4 linked regions of the Saccharomyces cerevisiae S288C genome follow. Changing the gene in region 2 together with the main gene of any one other region gives a genetic interaction. Each region holds a gene or a part of one and is shown on either strand. Other genes may lie near its edges. The genes, in order: YKR075C, CTP1, XDJ1 and GID8.

What was found.
Region 1: mutations in CTP1 (region 2) and YKR075C together harm fitness more than expected from each alone (negative genetic interaction), as found in Saccharomyces cerevisiae (2 studies listed by BioGRID).
Region 3: mutations in CTP1 (region 2) and XDJ1 together harm fitness more than expected from each alone (negative genetic interaction), as found in Saccharomyces cerevisiae (2 studies listed by BioGRID).
Region 4: mutations in CTP1 (region 2) and GID8 together harm fitness more than expected from each alone (negative genetic interaction), as found in Saccharomyces cerevisiae (2 studies listed by BioGRID).

What each region holds. Positions count from the first base shown.
Region 1 is NC_001143.9:578,853-582,903, reverse strand, and holds YKR075C (uncharacterized protein), read left to right. Parts: upstream 1-2,153; coding exon 2,154-3,077; downstream 3,078-4,051. Other genes in the region: ECM4 (S-glutathionyl-(chloro)hydroquinone reductase), read right to left, coding at 1-621; AIM29 (Aim29p), read right to left, coding at 3,228-3,695.
Region 2 is NC_001134.8:782,972-787,125, forward strand, and holds CTP1 (Ctp1p), read right to left. Parts: upstream 1,602-4,154; coding exon 702-1,601; downstream 1-701. Other genes in the region: BSD2 (Bsd2p), read left to right, coding at 1-585; YBR292C (uncharacterized protein), read right to left, coding at 1,731-2,102; VBA2 (Vba2p), read left to right, coding at 4,035-4,154. UniProt on the Saccharomyces cerevisiae protein: Transport of citrate across inner mitochondrial membrane.
Region 3 is NC_001144.5:318,253-322,775, forward strand, and holds XDJ1 (Xdj1p), read left to right. Parts: upstream 1-2,448; coding exon 2,449-3,828; downstream 3,829-4,523. Other genes in the region: alanine transaminase ALT1, read right to left, coding at 1-1,763; GEP5 (Gep5p), read left to right, coding at 4,045-4,523.
Region 4 is NC_001145.3:537,830-542,260, forward strand, and holds GID8 (glucose-induced degradation complex subunit GID8), read right to left. Parts: upstream 2,228-4,431; coding exon 860-2,227; downstream 1-859. Other genes in the region: ERG29 (Erg29p), read left to right, coding at 9-722; GAT2 (Gat2p), read left to right, coding at 3,370-4,431. UniProt on the Saccharomyces cerevisiae protein: Component of the GID E3 ligase complex recruiting N termini and catalyzing ubiquitination of proteins targeted for degradation.

The sequences.
Region 1 (4,051 bases), on a different chromosome or scaffold from region 2:
CTGTGTTTTCAACTGAGCAGGAACAAGGTCCGTTTTCTTGTGATCGTCGTCGACAAATTCATCGAACGCACTAGAGTTCAAAATCCTTATAATTTCGCTACTTTCGTTGTTAACAATTGTTTGGGTTTCTAAGTCCCACAGGACTGGGACGGTGAACCTTGCCGAGTATTGAGGATCGCTCTTGTAATATAAGTCACTGATTCTCTTGTATCCATAGTGAGGCTCATTGGTAGCATCAACCATGAATCTTTGACTGTCATTCTTGATCTCGGCGAAGCTCTTGCTGGAATCCTCTTTAGCAGTTCTAATACCACCTGCAACATCGTGCCAATGTTCCAAAAAATCTTCACTGTCCTCCAATTGCTTTTCCATGTCCAAAAATCTCCATCCTTTCTCGTCAAGGTGCCAATGGACTACGCTACATCCTATAACAGAGGTTAATCCCTTCAAAGCCCTCGTAATTAGTGTTCTATGGGCCCATGGGCATGCAAGTGAAACATACAACCAATATCTTCCCTTTGCTGGCTTATAAATTGGGTGTTGCTTAGAGATTGTTTCTCTGAAGGACGAAACCTGTCTTTTGAAAGCTCCGTTTGTACCACTCGCCCACTGTTTCGACATTTCTTATTTATCTTGCGCAGGGTTTGGGTAAATTCTCGTAAGCACTGTAGTGATGGTAAGAGCAGCGTTACCTAATTAACTACCTTTATACAAGAAATGGAAAAGGGTTGAGAGGGGTTGGACGCTAAGACAAATAAATAGGGGTGTGAAATTTCAAGAGCTGACTAATATCTTAGTAACGGAGAACAACAGAGAACAGATGATAAAACTATATTGATACGTTCAAAAGGTCTTAGGACCGTCTGAAGAGGTGAAATAAAGATGGAAAAGTTTGCGTCACCAAGCCTTTTGCGTCGGTTTCCTCTGTAACACTTTTTAATTCAAAGTGTTAAAATCTCAACTGTATACCCTCTAATTTGCATAATAATGAAACTAAATGTAAAAAAAAAAAGGAAAGAAAATCACTCCATAATCAGGGTAATGAATCATTTTACAGTGTCATTTGCATGTTCATACACATACCCTTCTTGACAGAATGCAGGAAAAGCCTCAACTATTTATCGGACACATTCGCAAATGTCCATTGACGAGTAAAACGTTTCCGCGTCACTACATTCGTCACTACACAACTTTAAAATACCTTATTTTTTTAATTATGCGGAGTAAGTATCTTTGCAGAACTAGATGGTTGGATTGAGCAGTAGGCATCAGTGACTCGAATTGGTGCTCATTTTTATTTTAACGTACGATTTGTTCAGGCCTTGCTATGACAAGCTTCCTGACGAAATCATACTGCAAGATACATAGTCCCAGTCCATAAACTAGTAGAATGACAAAAAGAAACTCAGAACATACATAACACGATAGACAACGTATTCACGGTTTTGAACCCCACGTAGTATCCTTCTAAATGGCATTGCCTTTACCACATGAAAAACTAAGAGAAGAAAGCTCTCTGCACTAATCATTATAAACGACAGCGGACCCGGAAGCGAGTACCCGAATAGGCCGGGGAAGGAAAAGATAGAAAGGAATCTTTTTTTCTTCCCCCCGCTCTTTTTTTTTATGCTTTTTGGGGTTTTTCCGGCAACTTTCAACAGAAATGCCGTAGCCGGAAAAACCGAAAGCGGGGGACAGTGAAGCGTGAGAGGGGCGAGACAGGGGGAACTTGAATGGGGTATTTTGCTTTTGCTGCATTTTTTCCGCTGGTACCTCTATCTTTAGGCGACCGGAAAAATTCATTTTCTCATCTTTTTTTTTTTTTCGTTTCCGACTCGATACTCTTTACAAAGAAACCCCCGCGGGGAAATGTTAGATTTGAGCTTTTTCCGCCAGGAAAAGAAAAAACCTGGGGACATTAATCTTGTTTTTTCTTTCTTCTTTTGTCTTCCCTTGGATGACTGCAGAAAAAGTACAGTTACCGGGTCTTAGCAAAAACAAACATATATATATATATATATGAAAGCGTATGGTCAACACGGTTTTATAGGTTTTACTTTTTGCATTCAGTTCAACTTTGGCCCTTTCTCTTATCGCATTCAGATACTACACACAAGTGTTCATACACACACAAATAGATACATATACAGAAAATGACTAGTTTGGACGATACAATAATTTCGTACCAGAATATAATGTTACTGGATAACATGACCAACTACAACAAGCCTGCGATTGACTATTTCCATCATGAATTTAATGATGCAAGCTTGGAAATATCGGCTTCATGGACACTACTATTGAAGATGCGCAAACATAAACTACTTCGATTACCAAGTTGCTCTTCAGAGGACGTGCTAGATTACAACATGTACCTCGTTAGGCTACATCATTGCCTCTGGAGGCGTTGGTCCATAAATCACTATGGTTTACAGAACTCCAAATCCAATCCACTGTCCATCAACTGGAACAAAGAAACCGATGTAACGGTGTTGTACGGTCCAGATTTGACTAACATAGATAGTAATGAAAACGAAATATCGCCGGTCCAGAACCAAATTGACCAGAAACAAACAAAAAATCTAAAATCTGCTTTAAAGAAAAATACGGAATGCTGGGTAACCGAGGAGGTGGATGAGATTAACGCTTCTATAGAGAGCAATGACAACGCTTTGGTGAAATTAGAAGACATTTCATGCCCATCGTCTGTTGATTCTCACACGTCTTCCATTTTCGACCAGCATTCTACATGCACTAAAATTTCCTCCATAGATGAAGATTCTGAAGACCTTATGAACGAAAAGAAGGAACAATTCCCCAGGAAGTTGAAGTTTAACCAAGCCGTGATGAAGAGGGAGATCGACTCAAAGGGGACTATCCGCGAATCCCTCATCAACATAAACGATATCCAACATTCCCGCCACCATCGCCGTCACCATCGTCGCCATCATCACCATCACCATCAAAATAGTTCTCATTCTGATGAAACAATAAAAGAAGCTCATTATGAGTTCAGCAACTATACATTTGGCACTATGGAAGAAGACATTTTTTATAGGAACCAGGTTGTTTTTTAAAGGAGAGTTTGCTCTCTTCTGCATTTCCACATACACATTTGATGTTAATTTACATACGAGTATACTCTCGTACACAACATATATATATATATATATGTAATATATTCATAGCACTTACTTATTAATGAAGGCCATAAGCCAAACAACATCTCACCATTTTTCTTCAGGGTTTTCTTTAAACCTTAGGTAATCCTCTTTGTTGAAAAGCGAAATTTCGGTTTCATTCTCAATGCCATACTCGAACAGCTTTTTTTTGTCATTCTCTATGTCTAAAGTCCAGTCGTCATCGTGGTCAAAATTGATCACGAGATTAACCGTCTTGGAACCATGTGCGTGCGTGTATATCTTTAAAGTATCAAACTTAACATTACGGAATGGTCTGAATGAACCTTCATTTTGAATTTTGTTCAAAACGTCATTGAACAGGTCCTTTGCAGTTTTATCAGCAAGATCGTAATCGTGCAGCACTATGTTCTTGACGTTTCTATATGGGAAAGATTTTATTACTCGGATTGTAATAACGGAGTTCTTTAGTGGTCTGGCATTTGAGGTTAATGGCTCTTCCAAGTCATAATCATGAAAGGTTGTTGACATTTTCAGCCTTTTAGTTGAATTCATGAAATAATGCAACCAAACAAGAAAAAATTTGGGGGAGGTAGTCTACGCATTTCAGTTCTAACTTCCTTCCTTTTCTTTCACTATTAATTGAAACTTATTTTCATTTTTTTTCTTTAGCATTGAACGCCGAATCTAAAAAAGTAAAGAACTCCTCATAGGGGGCTCGAACCCCTGACATTTCGGTATCCTTGCTTAAGCAAATGCGCTTAAAAGCCGAACGCTCTACCAACTGAGCTAACAAGGATGAGTTCTTCGGAGGGCTAACTCATATAAATAACTAATAAAGGCGAAATAGTGGTCACCACCATCACACTACACCCATATCAACGACAAGAGTTTAATTTGACCGTGGAAAT
Region 2 (4,154 bases):
ACTGAAGGTAATAACGAACAAGACATACCACCTACATACGACGAAGCTGCTGCTGATATGGCCCCCTCGTATTATGGAATGGATTTGAACAATTCAGATATCTACTACGACGAAATATGCATTGAGGGGCTTCCTGTAGGAAATATAGCAAATTTATTATGGAATATCATCGTAAGCACGAGTTTTCAGTTCATTGGATTTTTAATAACCTACATTTTACACACATCTCACGCAGCAAAGCAAGGTTCAAGGTTTGGATTAGGGTTAACGTTCATTGGATATGGTTATTCAATGATTCCCAATGATGTTACTTCAAAAGTCGGCAAAAATAAAAGCTTAAATAGAATGGAATTAGAGGATCCAAATGAATTCGATGATGTTCGTCTAAATTCACAATCAACGACACAAGATAAATTTGAATCACATTTGAATCACGGTCTGGATGAAGAAAAACAAAACATACCATGGTTGGCTGTTTTTGTGGCATTTCTTGGGCTATTTATCACCCTGAAGAGTATATACGACTACATTCAAGTCAAAAAATTGGAAAAGAAATACCTCAACCAAAGTCAAAATCAAGCATAAGCCATCTTCTTCATTATGATAAAAAGAGATATATAACTTTTTTAAGTGATCGGCTGGTAAATAGACTTATAACGAGTAGAAAACATTAGATGATATATTGTACACAATAATACATTTCAGGCTAGCATAACTAAGACCTTTTCATAGATAGTGAAAACAATACCACCACTCAAGACCAATCTCCCAAGTCTAGGCGTAGCACCTTTCCAAAACGTCTTTAACCCTTCTTCTTTGAAAATGGTTGCAAAACAATTCATTGTAGAGGAGTATTTGGTGGAATCCAAACTTTGCATTCTTGTTTTCACAGTATCAAGGGGCATGGTGGAATAGACCGTCACAATACCACTAAATGCACCCACTAAGAAGGTTAACCCGGATGATAAAGGTTTGTCTTTTGGCGAATCCGTATAATCTTGGATCAAGGTCTTAATCTTATTGTAACAACCCAATCTAACGGCTTGGTTTGCGGCCTGTCTCATGGAAACTGGCAAAACACCACGATAAAGACCAGAAAATCCTTTATCACGGACTAATGATGAATAGTTTCGTACTACACCGCGCCCATTATTATGGTATTTTGGTGTAGCAGATTGTTTATCATCGATCAAAGCAGTTTTGATTGCTTCAAAAGGAGTCACTGCGGCAACACTTTCTAATAGTCCCGCACCTAACCCAGCTATCACCCCTCTTGTACCACTTAGTTCTCCAGTTTCACTATCTCTTAGCATGTCTTTAATGGTATCAAAGCCAAGAAATCTAATACCCGCCTTAGCGGTGTTTCCAATAATAAATGCGGGACATCCGACATAAATGGAACCAATGCCCTGAGTTTTTGCAGTTTTATATATCAATACCAGAGGATTTCTTGATGCCTTGGAGGCCTTATCAATCAGCTGCAGCCTTGTTTTGGCAAACTCAAAAGGATATGTTATACATGCTTCAGCAGCACCGGCTAGGGACCCTGCCAGAAACGAGTGCAATGGATCTACGTCACTTTTGGTAGCTTTACTGGACATCGGTAAAATGCTAATTTATAATTCAAGCTCTACTTTGGAGTTCTTTCATTGTGACATCAAAATGTTTTTAATTTTACGTTGGCTTCGACATTTTACGTTTTATATATCACGCTAAAGTGAGACTAAATTTCATTGTTCTTCTTTTTTTTTTTTTTCACTTCTAATAATTGAAAATTCCGCAGGAATTCTTCCATATTCTTGACTCTTCAGTAAGACTAACTTAATGGAAATAGAGAAAATAGTACATATTTGAAAAAAAAAAAAGAGGTGTTGAAATGATTTGAGAATATTAAATAGCTTACAAGCGTTAGCCGAGTTCCCAGACAGCAGAGTTTCTACCCTGTGCTCTTTGTTGGCGGCTTTATTGATGAGGAATATAAAAATGTAATTAGGCAAACCTACGCGCGAAAATATAAGAAGCAAAGATATAAAGTGTAGTATATTTGAATATTTACATGAACGAAACGGCGACGTATAATGGTAATCGGCTGGGAACTTCATTAAAAAGTCAAGATGTAAGTTACCTCTTAGTAAGAAGAGTTATTGCAGCAAGCTTAGTATCAATAGGGAGACTCTGTCATGTAAAAAAATAAATGAACACAATCATAACCTCTTCGACTGGGCTATTCGTTGTATAGTATATGTGGTGGAGTGTAATGAATGAAGTTCTCAGAAGCTTGAAAGCATATCAAAATCACGTATTGACTATGACAGATTCTTGTTTCTTGCTCCATTACTCCATTCGAGTTTTTCACAACTTTTGTCGTTCGTCTATAACATCTCTTTTTTTTCCCACTCTTCTAAAATATTGGCATAGCTGACATGTTTGGAACCGAATAAGCAATTACAATACGACAGTAAAATAAAAGCATGTTATTGCTGCTTGTAGAGAATTCCTGCATATGTAACTTTCTCATTCCGACGGGATAAGTTCATAAACTAATCAGCGATGAGTTGCGGAAAATTCGTCAATAGAATATTTTCCAGTCAGTGGTGGTCCCAGTGGCCTGCAACCTAATGGCTATAGTTCTGGATAATAAATTGGGCAAAGGTCAGTATAAAGAATGAATGTATCAGGCCGTAATTGAAGCTTTCAAGTCCAGGTGAAAGGCCAAATCGACAATTAGCGAAAACAGGATTTTTTTACCAACTTGAAATAGTGACTGCTGTCTTTTTGCCTGATTAAGTGGTTATATATTTCAACTAATATCACAACAAAAGGCCTCTCAAAATTTGTGGCGAAGTGTACATCCTGGGTGCTCAGGTAAGCGTCGTCTTCGTATTTTTTTTTTTTCAACAGTAGTTTGGAAATAATGCTCTTCGAGGAATGCGAGCGGAAATGTTATCCACTGTATAAGTCGATATTTTAAGGGACGCTAAATATATCATCATAGCTCGTCTATTGGTGGCTTCTCCAATTGCACTTTCAATGCATTATGGTAAAGTGTGGTGATAAGGCATAGTGATGTTTACAGAGGTCTGTTGGTTTCTCTGGGCTCGCTCATCATCCGACCAGTAACCTTGTGGGGTTTCACATATTGTTCTATGCATTATTATCACGGATTTGTGCCTGCAAATGCTGTTTCTTTGGCTTTTCTTTCTAAAAAAATTATGATATATATATTGTTCCTCCTTGTTTAACAGGCTTTACGGTATTGTGGATCCTAGTAATAGGCGTACTTTTCTTCATTTACATATTTGAACAATATATGTCTCACAAGTAGTTGACCGAATAGCGTTACGTAAGGGTCAAAAACCTTTTCAGAATTGTATATATGACATTTTTAGAACATGATATAATAAACAGAATATAAAAGAAAATAGAGACGACGTACCATGGCATGAAGAATTGTACTGATATCACATTGTGTTGAGCACTGATAGATTAATACTATATTTCTGCTAGGTGCGGGGGGTAACATGTCCTAATGTGTGGCAACCACATTCTAAGGCTCGGTAAGTGATGCGATATATGTGCATGTGTGGCTTTCTTCCTAATTTGCTATTAGATGATTGTGTGCAAATCCACAGAAATATACAATTTCGAGAATATATATACTAGTTATCGTTATAAGAACACACAGTATTGGCCAATTCTTGCCTCTGAATGGTACAAAATGCTTTAAAATGTAGTAAATGAAACATTAATTCCAAATCAGATTTTTTTTCGCAATGCTTAAATCTAGTAAACACAAAGTACTACCGAAAAGCAAGGATGGAAACTATGGCAGTATTGAAGAGACTGAAATTCCTTCTGTCGACTACAGTGAAGACTTAGATGAGGACTTGGACAAAGGCGAAGATATAGCGCTTTCAAGAATCCCAAATTGATGGATTATTGAAGCTACTCTTTTTTCTAATGTCTTTTTGTCCGGTTTTGACGGAACCGTTACAGCTTCGACGTACCAAACGATTGGTAACGAATTTAATCAGATGAGTATTTCAAATTGGATCACCACTGCGTATTTAATTACATCAACATCTTTTCAACCTCTTTATGGGTCATTTTCTGATGCACTTGGTCGAAGAAACTGCCTTTTCTTTGCTAATGGG
Region 3 (4,523 bases), on a different chromosome or scaffold from region 2:
TCAAAAAATTCTTTATGGAAACTTTCCCATTTCTTAATCCATTCCAGACCAGGTGCCAAAAATGTTGTTCTTAAATGGTAAGTACCAGGTTCTTGACCAAACCCAGAACCGGGAACAGTGCAAATGCCAGTAGATTCTAACAACTTCTTACAATAAAATTCATCCGGAGTTAACTCTAAGTGGCGAGCTTCTTGAACTGCCTTGAAAGGTAAGTCTATCTTAGGGAATAAATACATGGCACCTTGAGGCTTTTGACATTCAATGCCTTCTAAAGAGTTAAATGTCTCATACAGTGTCATTGCTCTTGTAATTAACTTTTCATGGATGGAGTTACGTTCTGCTTGGTCCGACTCGAATGATTCCTCCCCTTCCACTGGTGGACGAACCATCAAATCAACCAAAGCTTGACCTGTGACAACGGGACACAATGAAATCGAGGCTAGTTTCAAGATAACTTGTCTCATCTCATGGCTGAATCCAGTGAGTTCCATGTAGCCACCCCTTTGACCACATTCACCAGAAACACCCTTAGAAGTCGAATGCAAAGAAGCTAGCTGAACATTATCGAATTTACCTGGATGTTCCCTCTGTAAATGTCTCAAAATTTTCTTCATAGAATGGAACTTGGTGCCCGGGAAGATATTTTCTTGATAAACTTCGTCAGCTATCACTACTGTACCGTACTTGGCTGCGACTTCAAAAATCTGAGCTATAGACTCAGGTGATAGGACAGCTCCTGTAGGATTACCTGGATTGATAACCACTAGAACTGTAGGTTTGATTTCGTTCTGTATAGCCTCTTTGACGACAGTTTCAATTTCTTCTGGATTAGTTGACCAACCTGAATTCTCATCTAAATAGTATGGTAAAGCTTGAGAATTGTTCAAAGCTAGAGTAGCGGTATATAATGGATATTGAGGAATTGGAATCAAGACACCCGTTTCTGGCCCTCTACAGAAAATTGATAACAAGTAATTGACAGCTGCGGATGCACCAGCAGTTAGGAAAATATCCTCTGGGTATGATATCTCGCCTTCGTCCCTCTTCGTTATAAATTCAGCGACACTTTTCCTTATACCTTCTACACCTTGAGAAGAAGAGTAAGCACCAACAGAACCACCGATATCTTCCATTAAACTCTTTGCACGTTTAATGGCATCTAGTTTAAACAATTTCGAATCAACTAGCTGCTGTTCGTTTTGGTTTAATAGTTCTGGGTATTGTAAGAGAGACAAGACCTGTCTGTAGTAAGTCAGAGGTTTCTGTTGTAGTTGCTGAGGATTACCAATATTGGCGTTGATAATCCTGTCAAATGGCAGAGATTGAGGATCCTTCTCCAGTTGAGCTTTCAATTCTTCAGCTCTCATTGGGATGGCACCTCTAACGGCGTACTTAGCCTTCAAGACATTTTCATTTACGTCTTCCAAAGTCAATTGTTCGGCGGGATAAAACTCGTTATTCGAAGTTTTCAACGTGTGGTGTGGAAAGCGATTCAAATGACGCAGGTCGTTTAGCGAAGATTGACCAGATAATGAACGTCTATGATTTTGAGCAACAATCCAGGAAGAGCTATGTCTCTGTAGGACGGGTCTAACTTTCCTGAAAGCTTTTAACTTTGTACTACTGGCTGAGGTAGAAAAAGGAGTAGTGATATGTGGCATTTTTTCTGCGCTTGAAGTGAGAGTCCTTATATGATATGACTTAATAACGTGAGTTATAGAATTACTCACTGTGAAGTGATTTTTGGCAGACAGTGATAACATCGTGGAGAGAGCAAAATAAAGACTGGGGAAATATATTTATATGCGTTCAATTGAGAAGCAGAAACAATTAAATGCGGGGGAGAAACAAAGAAGCTGGTCCTGTTCTCGAGCAACGTGTGACTAGTATGAACAACTAGAGTAAAATAGCGAGAAAGCAGTAGTAGTAACGGAAGAGCTTTTCCTAGTATGGTCCGCGGGTCACGATCGTTTACAAAGGGCGCAGCAAACTCTAAATACGTCAACCACAGCAGGTCAGAAGAGTACGTGAAGTTGTCTCAACGAAAGGTCGAAAATCGTTAGGCTTGGACCCCTTCAGAATGAAAAAAAAAAAAGACGCAAGAGTGAAAAAAAAACCAGTACTGTAAAAGCAGAAAACGTCTAATGGGAAGTGCTACTATGTAAGATTATATCATGAATGTGCTGTGTATTATATATGGATTATATAGCCACGAATATGCGGTAAATAAACATATGCATATATGTGTGTGGGGCAGCGCTCTGCTGTGCAATCCTTGTTTCTTTGTTTCTTGGGTCGGGATTTGAGTAGCGACGAGCCATCCTCTGCAGAAGGGAAGAAGAAAGAAAGGCAGAGAGGCAAAGAAAGAGTCAGGCTTATCTTATCTTAAGAGATATGCCGCTTGGACCCAAAAGAAAGGGAAAAGTAAGTACGCAGGTGTAGTTTTGAATGAGTGGCAGTGATAGAGGAGACCGGTTATACGATGTGTTGGGGGTGACGAGAGATGCGACCGTGCAAGAGATTAAAACTGCTTACAGAAAGCTTGCCCTGAAACATCATCCGGACAAGTATGTGGATCAAGACTCAAAGGAGGTAAATGAAATCAAATTCAAAGAGATCACTGCCGCTTACGAGATCTTGAGCGATCCGGAGAAGAAATCACATTACGACTTGTATGGTGATGATAATGGTGCCGCTAGCAGCGGTGGCGCTAATGGCTTTGGAGATGAAGATTTTATGAACTTCTTTAACAATTTCTTCAATAATGGAAGTCACGATGGAAATAATTTCCCTGGCGAGTATGATGCGTACGAAGAGGGCAACTCTACAAGCTCTAAGGATATCGATATCGATATATCTCTTACTTTGAAGGATTTGTACATGGGCAAGAAGCTGAAGTTTGATTTAAAGAGACAGGTCATCTGTATAAAGTGCCACGGTTCTGGCTGGAAACCAAAGAGGAAAATTCACGTTACACACGATGTGGAATGTGAATCATGCGCTGGAAAGGGTTCAAAGGAACGTCTGAAGAGGTTTGGTCCCGGTTTGGTAGCTTCGCAATGGGTGGTCTGTGAGAAATGTAATGGTAAGGGGAAGTACACTAAAAGACCCAAGAATCCAAAGAACTTTTGCCCCGATTGCGCAGGCTTGGGGCTCCTGTCAAAGAAGGAAATCATCACAGTGAACGTGGCTCCGGGACACCACTTTAACGACGTAATTACAGTCAAGGGGATGGCGGACGAGGAAATCGATAAGACCACATGTGGTGATTTAAAGTTCCATCTCACTGAAAAACAAGAAAACTTGGAGCAGAAGCAAATCTTTTTGAAGAACTTTGACGACGGCGCCGGGGAAGATTTGTATACAAGCATTACCATATCGTTAAGCGAGGCCTTGACGGGATTTGAGAAATTTTTGACAAAAACCTTCGACGACAGGTTACTAACATTGAGCGTTAAACCTGGCAGAGTAGTAAGACCTGGTGACACCATCAAAATCGCCAATGAAGGTTGGCCCATTTTAGATAACCCTCATGGCCGGTGCGGCGATCTGTATGTTTTCGTTCATATTGAATTTCCACCAGATAACTGGTTCAATGAAAAATCAGAACTACTAGCAATAAAAACGAATCTGCCGTCATCTTCATCTTGTGCCTCACATGCGACTGTAAATACTGAAGATGACAGCAACCTGACTAACAACGAAACTATATCAAATTTCCGGATCATTCACACGGACGATCTTCCAGAAGGGATAAGGCCGTTCAAGCCAGAAGCACAGGATTCAGCGCATCAGAAAGCAAGAAGTTCGTACTGCTGTATCCAATGATGGCATCAATAACTTTTTATTCTATTTTTTTTTTTTTTTCATAAGTTATCCTACCTGTATATATGTATATATATGAAATTCATTTACTGAATGCGGTGAAGAATGAAGTCTTTCGCACCTTCAGTAGAAAAATAGGAAGAATCCCCATCGCGGCGGACATAAAGCAAGCATACAAAGGCCTTCTATCAGAACAGCGATTGCGAACTTGGAGCAACAATGGCGTCCCAGGTTAACGCCTTATTACTGCCGGTCATAGAGTCTACGCCGCTTCATCAAATAACCAAGGTAGCATTGACGACCACACTCACAAGTAAACAAAGCGATTACAAGTTCAAAGAAATAGCCGTGCCGTTAACAAAATCACTACAACTGTACGAGAAGGCGCAAAGAAGACAAGATTTAAGGGCAAGCTTAAAAGCACTGGAGAGTATCATTTACCAAACGCACTTCCAATGGAATAACCCGCTCCCACGACATGCGCATCTCTTCCAAAAACACTACCACTTTCTACTGACTCACTGGCCATTTGAGAACCACAGAGACTTGGTAGATTCCATCGCTGTAAACAATGGGAAACTAAATTCAACGTCTTCAAGGAGCGTCTGGCTGAAGGCGGATTGGATAACACTGTTTAACGTTAAAAACCCTTGGGTCCAAACGCCGCCATCGTTAATGCGTCTGAGTGGGACAGATCT
Region 4 (4,431 bases), on a different chromosome or scaffold from region 2:
AGGCCGGTATGTCGTTAAAGGATAGGTATCTAAATCTCGAATTAAAATTAATAAATAAACTACAGGAGTTGCCATATGTTCATCAATTTATCCATGATCGAATAAGTGGTAGGATAACTCTCTTTTTGATAGTGGTTGGTACGCTTGCATTTTTTAACGAACTGTATATAACGATCGAAATGAGTCTTCTACAAAAGAACACATCAGAAGAACTAGAGCGTGGAAGAATCGATGAAAGTCTGAAGCTTCATCGGATGTTGGTGAGTGATGAATATCACGGTAAAGAATACAAAGACGAGAAAAGCGGTATTGTTATTGAAGAGTTCGAAGATCGCGATAAGTTTTTTGCAAAACCTGTGTTTGTATCAGAATTGGATGTCGAATGTAATGTTATTGTAGATGGGAAAGAACTTCTGTCCACCCCATTAAAATTTCATGTTGAATTTTCTCCAGAGGATTATGAAAATGAAAAAAGACCTGAGTTTGGTACTACCTTGCGTGTATTGAGGCTGAGACTTTACCACTACTTTAAAGATTGCGAAATATATCGCGATATAATTAAGAATGAGGGCGGTGAAGGGGCAAGAAAGTTTACGATTTCCAACGGTGTCAAAATTTACAATCATAAAGATGAACTACTGCCATTGAATATCGATGATGTTCAATTATGTTTCCTGAAGATTGATACGGGAAACACGATAAAATGCGAATTCATACTATGAAAGCTTCCAAAAAAAAAAAAGAAAAATCAATTGCTAAATGCATACATGCAGGTAGGCACACACACACACACACACACACACTCACTCACACATGCACACGCACACACACATATATAAATATATACGTACTATGTATGTCAGTTTTCGACCCTAGGAACCCCTATTTGGTTGTGATGAAGCTGATTTTCGCACCAACACCACAGTTTCATTATCTGCGTCAATCTTGGTTCATAGGGAAATTCGGAAGAGTAGTAATTATTGAATTCTAAACCTTTTTCCTTTCCATTTGAAGAGGAAAGCAATTCAGAAGTTTGATTCCAGTAATTTTTATTTTCTAAGTTATGAAAAGTTGTCGCCGCTGAACCTGTGCCAACATTTCCATCCCTTTGATTTAGCCAAACTGAATTAGCAGCAGCCGTGACCTCGTTGCTTGACATCTTTTCGTTGATAGGTTGGTCAGACGAAATGTGAGTTATTTTTGTACCATTTGAACCATTGACGAGATTGTTGTTATACACCGTGAAGTTCTGCGTAATTATTTTCTTGTCGGAATTTAACAAATCTGGAAATTTGGAATTATTATTGCTGATCTCAAATTGAATCCTTGGATGAATAAACTTCAGCAGCTTCTCATTAACCAGATCTGCTATCTTAGATCTTAGAGATATCGAGTACAGATTTTGTAACGATTTGGGCAGCTTAATGCTGCCGCTGTCCGCCGAATCTGACAAGGGGAAAAGCAGCAGAGTCATTGCTAATTCTAACTCTTGCATCTTTTTGACACTTGACGAAGCCTTTATTGCAAGTTTATTTTGAGAATACTGAATTAGATTGAGTATAAAGTCGTTGGAATCCTTGGTGATGTTCTCCTGTTGATGGTGACTTCTTATCATCTCGATCAAATTCAGTAACAGCAGTTTGAAGTGTAAATCTCCATCTATGTCAAACTGCTGCTGCTGCTGCTGCTGCTGCCTGTCAGTTCTACCCGTATAACTTCCCGTAGCATTGAAAGTCTCTTCCAGCACCTCCAGCCCGAAGATAGAGTTTATCTCCTCCATCGCCTCATTGATACGCCCCAGCTTAATAAGATGTTTGATATGGAAACGCTCCTTGATCTTGTACAAATCATTGAAAACCGCAATGTCTTTGTTGTTCCGTATAAATCCCAGCTCCTTGGCCATCCTAATGCTCGAGTCTTCATATGCCATAGAAACAAAGTAGTTCAACAGAAGCCGTGGCAGTGTGGGCTCTATGGGTGTGGTCTGTATGGTAGCAAATCCCTCGTCCTGCGAGCCGCCACTGCTGTTGGGCTGAATTTTCAGCGGATAATGTATTGTCTTATTTGCATATAGCTCGCCCATGGCAGAATACTTGGCCACCTGCTCCTTCCATTCTTCCTTCGTGAAGCACTTCTTTCCATACGTAAAGTCTTTCCCACCATTCTTGCCTTGGCCGCTGCAAGATCCGCTCTTCGTGGTCTCGTTACTAAGAGTAGATATAGTCATTTCTATTTGTTACCACACACAAATATATCTTCATCCGGCTGATATTTGTCTCTACTGCCCCTTTGCTTGCAATTTAATGACCAAATTACACATGTTAGCTTCAAGAAAAATGATGTACCATCAAAATGTCTCCTGCAACGAACCGGGGCACCGCGCCGGCAGAGTCAGGAAAGCGAGATCGACACTGATAGTGATAAACAGCAACACAATGGAGCGATTACCATTCACTCGGAACGGATCCGGACAACAGTCAAATAAACTCCGGGATCCCAAAAAGGGCCGTACACACAAACCCAAGCCGAGCGAAAAACACAAAAAAAATAAAACAGGGAAAAAAGGAGCGCAAGAGAAAACGCACAGGAGTAGGAGCAGCAGAAAGGGGAACTAATATGGTTTTTCCGTTTGCTTATTTTTATTTTTTTGTTGAGTCATGGGCACGTCACCGCACAACAGCCGCCGCAGGCCTGTACCGCTACGCGTCTATCACTGCGAAACATCGCTACTTCTGTCGCCGCGTCGACGCTGGTCCAGACCACAAAAGGATGCACGATCAGAAGCACTGTACCCTGCAGAGTTGGAGATAGTGTAACCGTGACTTCATTTTTCAAGCGTGGTTTCACATTCTTTTTGCACCGCCCTTATCTCAGATATAGTTTCGTTCGGTTGCTTTGCTTTCCCCAACTGAAGGTGCTGGATGGCGGTTTTTCCGGCTGCTGCGATTTTCCCTGCGCGGGGCCCGGCGCGGAATTGTGCAAAAGCTAAAACTCAACGGTTATTTTGAAATATAAGGTTATAAGCAAATTTCCTAAATTTGCTTAATTGTTAATGCAGTTGTTATTGCATTAAGACATTCGGCTATCGTTTCCTTTCTTCGTGTCGGCAATCTTGTATAAAAGTTATTTTTTGAGTTTCAGTTTCTTGTATATCTTGGTATATATTGAAGGAGGATTTTTTCTTTCCTGGTCCTTTTACTTCCTTGCGTCCCCTCATATTTCTTCTATTTCCGTTCACGGCGTTTTTTTATTTTCTCCATCTACTTTTAGTGATTTCCTTTGCTCTAATATTGTTTTCGTTCATAGTGAATTGTTTGTTTTCACTTTAATAAAGGGCTTTTACGACTTGTCTCAAAAAATTTCATCGAGATGCAAGCCCCCAATATCTACCCCTTCTCTCAAACACAGCCACAAGCACTGCCCGGGTTCACATACGGTCCTCCACAACTTGTTTTTGACCATTCTGCTCCGAGAGTAGATCCTTTGCATTCTACTGTAACTATAAATTCTCCATTACCCTTGCAGCATTATAATGGACCGAATGCCCATATAAACAGCGCAAACAACAACTACGCATACTACTATCATCATCCCAACAATAATGATAACAACAACCATAGTAACAACACTATAAAAAATAACAACATTAATTCTGTTCTTCCCGCCGTTAATATTCAAATATCCAACAACTCACATTATAGAAATACACACCAAATTCCTTCTGCTCCTCAGCGGCTGGTCAGCATCATACCGGATCCCCACATGCCGCCCAATATTTCTCACTTTCAGCTAAATAATATTCACCCTCAAATGCATGCTCCTGTTGCTACTGATATTCATTTCCAACAAGTACCAGTTTACAATAAAACCAATAATGGCATTGGTACTGATAACATTAATAACGATAAACCCGTAAACTCGAATCAGAATGAAGTGCTGGACAATATTGATGAACGTTCCTGTCATGAAATTAACAGGGTAGTTTCATTTTCTAAACATTTTGAAAACAACGAACTTACCACTACAGCAAATGATCTAAACATTCAATCTACTATGGATGAATTAGCTAAACTGAAATCTTTATCAAATTCTACCCATTTCAGGCAGAGTATTGCTACTCAGAATTTCCATTCTTTACAAAATCATATCACAACCATCGAAAACCGTCTGGCTTCTTTACTTACTGACAGACAACAAGAGCAGCAACAGTTGAAGCAGCAAGAGTCTGAAAAGGAGAGCTCTTCACCGTTTTCCAATAAGATAAAGTTACCTTCCTTACAGGAATTAACTGACTCCATCTCCACCCAACATCTTCCAACATTCTATGACAATAAAAGGCATGCTTCGGATACCGATTTAAAGAGTAGCACCTTACATGGTCCATTATATCACCGTCACGCTTTTCTTTCAACCTCTTCTTCCTCACCCTCC